2 linked regions of the Rattus norvegicus genome follow. The protein of the gene in region 2 purifies or fractionates together with the protein of the main gene of each other region. This does not show direct contact. Links are inferred from orthologs where the notes say so. Each region holds a gene or a part of one and is shown on either strand. Other genes may lie near its edges.

Region 1 (3,913 bases), about 70 Mb from region 2:
TCCTTTTGGAGCCTTCTGAAAAGATTCTAACAGAGCAGAACCCTGCTGCTTCTAATGCCCATTACCAGCAAACCCATCTCTAGGAACTAAGACTAAGGACTAACACACAGGGTCAAAGCTGTAGTTCCACTAGTTCTGCATTTACTAATAGAAAAACCAACAACTTAATCTAAGTCCTGCTCAATTATGAGTTCAGATTCTACACATAATTTTGATATTAAAACTACAAGATGCCAACTAGATACGAAGTATTACTACAGAGCAGCTGACAGAACTTTTGCAAAAATCCTTATGATGTAAGCATCTGCATGTGCAGTTGTGTGTCCACGGGAAGACAAAAGAAGGACATGCCAGTCAGTGCCACAGCCCTCCACTGGACCCCAGCGACACTCCAGCTGCCACACTACCCTTCCCGTGTGGGCTGGCTCATCTGTCTGTACAGCAGCCCTAGCAGGCAAGAGCAATCCATCGACTTCTCTCATTTTAAAGATGTGGCACCTGAAGATTAAAGCAGCACCTTGCACGATGGAACAGAGCTGGCCTCTGTGACCCACGGCATGTGCCTCTCCTAACCGTCCCTATGGACTCAGGTATGAAGGTGGGCGTCTGGGAGTACAGCTTCCCTGAGCTTAGCATACTCAGCACGCCTGAGCTACATCCACTGAGAGCTGCCTGTGTTCCCACCGACACTGTCAAAACAACAGGCCAGCCAGCTCTGGAAAGAAAGACGCCTCTGACCATCAGTAAGAGAGAAACAAGCTACACTGCAAGAAATAGATGGCAGCAAGGACTTTCAAGCTTTAAAAATATTCAGTTTTCTTTGGGTCTTCTTATTCCTGAATTTGATCCTTATTTGGTGGGAATCAAATCAAAAGGAAATTTTAAAGTGTTGTTTAAAATGCAGATGACATTTTCTAGGCAGTTTTATATTAACCTAATGACAATGAAAAAAACACAGAATAAAATCAGTCATAAATGAAGAGCTTCACAATGTATACTGAAAGTACAATAGAAGACAGTTAGAGCCTCTGTTTTCACCCACCAGGTATCAATTAACTCCAGGCTTGATACTCTTGCAGAGGACCTGGTTCAGTTTTGGGCACCCACATGGTGGCTCACAACTGTCTTAATTCCGGTTTTAGGAGATCCAAGGCTCTCTTCTGGCCTTTTGGACATTGCACACACTTGGTGCACAGACAAACATGCAGGCAAAATACCCATAAACATAAAATAAATTTTACAAAAGTCACACCATTGCAAAGTTTGAAGCTACTATAAAAAGTATTCCCCTCACAAAATATATTATTTAAAAAAAAAAAAACTTACCTTTGGTTTTTTGATCAGCAGCCTGAAAAAAAAAAAAAAAAAAAAAAAAGAGAAACTTTTTAGAGACAATTGAATGCAATGTCCACACTGATGAAGGTTTATAGGCAGACTTTTAATTATTTTAGGGTTTTTTTCTTAGTTTCTTTGAGACATGGAGCCTTGACTGTCTTGCAATTTACTGCACAGACCAGGTTGGCCTCAGTCTTACAGAAATCTGCCTGCCTCTGTTTTCCTTTCATTTTAATTTGGGGGTCGGGGGGAGCAAGCAAGTGAGTGTGAGTGACTATTGGGACTAAAACTTTTAATTCTTAAAATTTTAAAAGCAAACCTTTTATTTAGCTAATTTACTACTGAGAAAAATCCTACTCTGACCACAGGACAGTGCTAAGTTAGTGACTGGCAAACATTGTAATGGACACTATCTGAACTCCCTGTGTGTCAGTCTAGAAGGATCCTTCCAATCTCACGGCTCAGTACAGAGATGAAAGCAAGGGTGGGTAGTATAATTTGGCTATTTTACATGCCACAAAATAAAAAATATGACTATAAGGTTTAAATTAGAGCTCTAAAAAACAGAATTTTTTTAAAAAGAAAATATTTCTAACTGTTGAGTCATCTCTCCAAACTGGTTTACAGAACTTATTTATTTATAAGGATTTATAAAGAATGTTTACTAAGACTGTAACAATTATTTCCAGCTTTTCTAATACTGTCAGTTTCCTGGTTCTCCCTGATGTCTCGATAGGCTGCTGTGGGTGGGCTGGGCTGGGCGGTCCATTCTCAGGAGGCAGCAAGAGCGTTCTTTACACAGAAGCTGCGCTGCCCTGGACACAGCTTCAGTACGCCTGACGCTGTAGAAAAGACCTTCTGTAACCGGCACTCTGTACTCGCCTCACTAGCCAAGTGTCTATATTTACTCATTCCAGACTCGGCATATTGACGTAAAACAGTACTAGAATCAACCTTGGACATGAGACAGCCATGTTGATGCAGACATGACATGGAGGACATGGAAGGAGTCCTAGCAAACCTTTTTCTGAGCACCTTCCTTCTTTTTCTTGTCTTCCTGCTTTTTCTTTTTCTTTTCTTCCATCAAACGTTCCTCTTCTTGTGTTTCCTGTTCTTTTACCCTATTAAATATTTAAGAAGCAGTGTTAGTATGATGACTACTTTAAAGCCAATGAAGAAGTAAAAAAGCAACCAGGAGTGAGGGCACAGGACTGTAATTCCAGCTGTCTGGGAGGCTGAGGCAGGAGAATCACAAGTTTAAGGCCAGAGTGGCCCACAGGCTAACCCCTAGACTAACCTGTATGTAGGAGGGTGCTGCCGCCATAGCTCAGGTGCTTGTAGCCTTGTACGTGAGGCCCTGGGTTTGAAACTCCACACTCAGGATACAGGGCAGGGATATTATTTGTGCACAAAGTCTTGATCTAGACAATGTCATCAACATGATAGAGCCACTTTGAGAGGAGTCAGAAATGGAGGTTCCCCTCCAGTATGACAGCTGCTGCCCTGCTTTTTTGTCAAGTGGCTTAGCTGTCTCGTTTGTTCTGCCCACAACTGTGGAGAAATCGACTAGTGCAGGGCTTTGTGTGGGGTCTACAGAGTAAGGACACTTAGTGCTGTCTCAGAGACTGCCATCACTGGGGCTCCCTATTAGAAATGATCTGTGATTTCTATCCAACTCATCCAACAGATCAGGCTCTGTGGAGGTGATTCCCATGTATGCTCTAACTTCATGTTTGTCTGACACGGATTATCTTTTTATACAGAGCCCTGTTCAGCTGGAGAGCTATTACAAGATATGCAACATGGAAGAACTCTGTTTTAAAAAGTGAAGACAGCTAACACCTAGGCTGTAGTGCTATAGCTAGCCCAAGTGGTGTGCATGCATCAGGGGTCACTATCTCTTTCCTGATGGCTCCATGCTCTCCCAGTAACACAGGCTCTGGCCCTTCTTTCAGTCAGCACCATGGGGAGTTGCAGGAGGAAGGACCCTCTTGACACCTGTTACCGTGGCACTGTGAGGTTAGTATGTGGGTTTGAAGCCCAGATGCTGGCTGGTTACAGGCCTAGGCTTAGCATGGGCAACCTTGGCTCTGGCAGCCTAGCATCCCATCCAATGGCACTCTTAGCACTGAACTAATTCCAGTCCCTACTACTAGCCACCTCCCAACTGTCTCTCATGGGACTCCTCCTCACACACACACCGGACTCCAGGTCTGCTGCACCAATAGTCCACACACACCTAGCCATCCATCAACACGCCCAGGGCTCCTTTCCAATAGGAGCACAAGCTGAGGGGCTACTGGCTGTGACTGGCTTGCATTCTGCATGTGCTCTAGTTGAAGAACAGGTAGTTAGCTTAAAGTGCTTCCTGGTGCTCATTCAGCAAATCTGTGCCATGCCCTGTGAATGTGCGCCAGCTTTCCAGTGGGGCTTCCCTTCTTAGCCGGGGCTTCATCAGCTTAGGGTTCATGCCGCTTCTGTAGTTAAGTCTTCATTTGTTTGTTTGCTGAGACAGGGTCTCAGTATGTACTGGCCTGGAATTCAGTAGACAGACTAGACTGGCCTCAGACTTAAAGAT
Region 2 (3,913 bases):
GCACAGCTCAGAAACAGCCTCTGGATTTCAGCAAAGCAACTCAGATGGCATGTTGTGGTCATCACTGTTGGGCCTGGCTTGTAACCCCTCAAACACATCTCTAGGAGATAGGTGAGAGACTTAAGATCATTTAAACCTTAGGGCAGTTATGAGAGACATCTGGGTATCTGCTCATGTGCCAAGACCCTGCCCAACTGATGCCGTGGTTTGGGTTTCCACAGCTCAACCTAATATGGGATTAAAGGGGGAAAAGAAGGCCTTTTAACCCCAGCAGTCTGGAAGCACATGATCTCATGCAGGTCTACCTACACAGAAACCCACAAACAAACAATCCCTCCAACTCCTCTGAGCCCCATGCCAGTCCAGTCACAAGGTAGCAGGCACACAAAGTTTAAAAACAAAATCCCAGACAGGGCTAACAATACACAAGAGAAAGTGCCAGGTGGTAGTAGTACACACCTAGGAATCAGATCACCTGAGGCCACCAGGACCACACAGTGATGAACGCACCCTAAAAACAGCCCCCAGGGGGTGGGAGACAGCCCTGGACGCCGTCCCTACCACCCTTACCCCTTTACCTGGACAGTGTACTTGCAGACACCCAGAGTATTCCATAACTTAATGGTCTTGTCTCGGGACCCAGAGACAATCTGCCGGTTGTCAGAGGAGAAAGCCACGCTCAGCACATCCTTGGTGTGGCCGACAAATCGTCTCGTGGTAGTGCCCCTAAGAGGGAGAACCTGGTCACTTTCTAGACAGGTTTCACCCATCCAGTTAGATCCTTTTCCTAGCCCCACCCTTACCCTGTAGGCTCTATTATACTCCACAGTCCACAAGTGGTTCAGAACCTACTATTAGCCCATGTCTGATATGTACCAGAGAACCCATTCAGAATTGCAGGACATGTCCTCATTCCCTTGTGGGGATTGGTTGACAATGTCTCCTTGTCATCACTAGGATCCTCTATTACATCTGCCAATGTCCATCTGCCAATGTCCATCTAAGACAACTTACAACCCGAGACAACTTAATAGCCCATGGTACCCAGTTAAAAAAAAAAAAAGCAGCTCCAAGGGAAGCCTAACACCCCAAAATGTTGCCTTCCCTCAAACAAAAGGACTGATTACCAAGGGAAGACCACACCCTGGGGAATCTACCTCACTTTTGCCCACCTTCCCCCAAGGCCCCAAAGCAGCTACTTGCGTTGTGAGATCCCAGAGGCGTAGGGTTCCATCCCAGGAGCCTGAGAGGGCAAACTGGCCATCAGAGGAGATGACAACATCGCTAACAAAGTGGGAGTGACCTCGAAGAGCACGTTGTGGTATGCCGTAGTTGGTCTCATCCCTGGTCAGCTTCCACATGATGATGGTCTTGTCTAAAAAGGTTGGTAAAGAAATCTCATGAGGACCCCCAAAACCTACTACTTACCACGCACAAGTTACAGTCCTAAGGTCACTGGTGTGGTAAATGGCAGAAAAACGGCAAATTTGAAGTAAAAGAGGCTCACTATTCCACAGAGACGTAGATCTAAGCTGTAATCTGAGATGATGGGCAACACACTTCCTGGAGTTGAGATTTAAGTTCAACATAAAAAAACTTATTTAATGTGGCTCCCTACGTGTGTGTGTGTACGCGCGCGCACACTATATGTGTCTATGGTGTTCAAACTCTAGCCTTATCCATCGATGCGGCTAACTCAATAGCAAAAGCACTGTCACTTGGGTGTAGGATGAGCAGAGACACTTTCCCGCCTCGGAGAGTTAACAGAAAGGCAGCAGTTACGGCAGCATCATACACAGTCCTAGCCACGACCATTTCGACTTACACAGAAACCAACAGAAAGCCCGATAAGCCTAGCATTAATTAGGTAGGAGAGAGAGGACGAACATAATTTTGGGCAAGTAGGGAGGACCTGAGAGGGAAAAATACATGGAGACATATCATGAAAGAAAAAATAGCATTAGTTACAAGGAAAGAAAATCTAGGGCAGGACGGGCAAGCCCGGAATTCTGGGGAACAAGGCACCTAGAGTTCAGGGCCAGGCGGTGGCAGCTCAGAAACAGCCTCTGGATTTCAGCAAAGCAACTCAGATGGCATGTTGGGGTCATCATTGCTCCGCCTGGCTTGTAGCCACGTAATTACTTCGTTAACACATCTCCAGAAAGCAAGCGAGAGATGCATTAAAATCGCCATGCTGTGCACTTGCGTGACAAGTCCCGGTTTCCGTTCATATGTAAAGGGTCGCCCCGGTTGGGGCCCATGTTCGGGTCTGCACGCCCCAACTCACACCTGGGTCGGGGAACGGACCGAGCCAGCCAACACGAGCGCCACTTGCTTAGCCACGAGACATGCAGTCACCAGGACACAGGGTGTTTCACCCGGCATGCAGCCCCGTACCTCGAGACGCCGACAGGATCATGTCCGGGAACTGCGGAGTGGTGGCGATCTGTGTAACCCATCCATTATGGCCCTTGAGGGTCCCACGAAGGGTCATTTGCTCGGTCATGGCTGCAGATGTTGCGAGTGTCGCCGCAGCGACAAGGATGGCACCGGATAGCTTAGGGAGCCAAGCACCGCAGCGGCTGCCACCGCGACCCTGCGGAGAAAAAGAAAGAGCGGCCTCCGCCGGAACCGGAAATACTCGGAGAGCAAGGCGGGGATTCCCATGATTCACTGCTGCCCAAAGATGGCTGCACTATGAAGTGGGAGGAACTGGAGAAGTAGATCGCAGTATCGTCGTTTCTTCTGCCACGCAACATACAGGCAGCGCTGTACAAATGCATTCTGAAGCCAGGTGCACCAGGTTTTTAGAAAGGCTTCTCGGAAGATTAAAACATGCCGTGGAAGCAGAAGTGAGGCTAAACGGCACATTACCGAACTACAGCGGCTCACCGCCCCTACGTGGCACTGACGGAGCTCCGCCCTTTCCGCTTCGTGTTTAGTTCTCGGTTGGAGACCGCGGCTTTAACTTTGACTTACGGAAGTACAATTAAAGTTGCAGTTAAAGGAGTATGCCACGAAATTTGGCCTTTTTTGTTTTAAGGCAAGGTTTCATGTAGTGAAGGCTAGTCTTAAACTGGCTATGTTGCCAAGGATGTCTTCTGTCTCCCAAGAACCGGGCCGCTGCCGGGCGAGGCTATAGAGAAAGTGCTGGGTTAAGATTTATGGGGATTGGAAGCCCTTTCTGTGCTTCTGATCACTCCTCAGAAAAGCCTGCTAGTCCGTCTTGTGTAGCCCTGAAAGAAGTGAACCTGGACAGGGAAGAAGAGGAACACTGATAATCTAGCAACCTGATGACCCTCCCCTCAACACTTGTTTGAATTATTTAGTGTCTCCAAATGTCACAGATCTCTCAAAAAATTTTAACTTTACGTTTTAAAATTGGGGGTTGGGGATTTAGCTCAGTGGTAGAGCGCTTGCCTAGCAAGCACAAGGCCCTGGGTTCGGTCCCCAGCTCCTAAAAAAAAAAAAAAGAAAAAGGAAAAAAAAACTTAAAATTATTTGTGTGTGAGTGCGCTTGTGATCGTCACAGTGCACAGGTTGAAGTCAGGAATTTTCTTTTCTGCCATGCGTGCTCCTCTTGCTCAGCTTAAATATTTTTTAAAAAGGAGCACAGGTCAGGAAGGTAACCAACCACTAATGTCTATATGAACTAAATGATACATTTAATTATTTTAGTGCTATGGGTTGAACTCCCACATGTGAGGAAAATGCCTTATGGAGTTACATCTACCCCCTCGTGCCCCGCCCCCATCTCTCAATCTTGTTTAGTTTTTGTTTGTTCGTTTTTGAGACAGTCTCACTATGTAAAAGACTTAGCTGGTCTGGAACTCAGAGATCACCTGCCTGTGAGTGCTGGGAATGCAGGGATTAAAGGCATTTGTCGGGCTGAAGAGATGCTTCAGCAGTTAAG

Evidence for each region.
Region 1: the proteins of Rack1 (region 2) and Tnrc6c purify together in Homo sapiens (affinity purification with mass spectrometry; 3 studies listed by BioGRID and IntAct, counting the BioPlex papers as one, with this or other methods). This does not show direct contact. The link is inferred for Rattus norvegicus from reciprocal best matches to the Homo sapiens genes RACK1 and TNRC6C.

The regions. Positions count from the first base shown.
Region 1 is NC_086028.1:103,410,827-103,414,739, reverse strand, and holds the start of Tnrc6c (trinucleotide repeat containing adaptor 6C), read right to left. Parts: upstream 2,420-3,913; coding exon 2,357-2,419; intron 1,349-2,356; coding exon 1,327-1,348; intron 1-1,326. UniProt on the Homo sapiens protein: Plays a role in RNA-mediated gene silencing by micro-RNAs (miRNAs). Required for miRNA-dependent translational repression of complementary mRNAs by argonaute family proteins.
Region 2 is NC_086028.1:33,669,276-33,673,188, reverse strand, and holds the start of Rack1 (small ribosomal subunit protein RACK1), read right to left. Parts: upstream 2,640-3,913; 5' UTR 2,507-2,639; coding exon 2,398-2,506; intron 2,118-2,397; exon of another isoform or gene 2,050-2,117; intron 1,376-2,049; coding exon 1,204-1,375; intron 962-1,203; exon of another isoform or gene 882-961; intron 727-881; coding exon 579-726; intron 72-578; exon of another isoform or gene 4-71; intron 1-3. UniProt on the Homo sapiens protein: Scaffolding protein involved in the recruitment, assembly and/or regulation of a variety of signaling molecules. Interacts with a wide variety of proteins and plays a role in many cellular processes.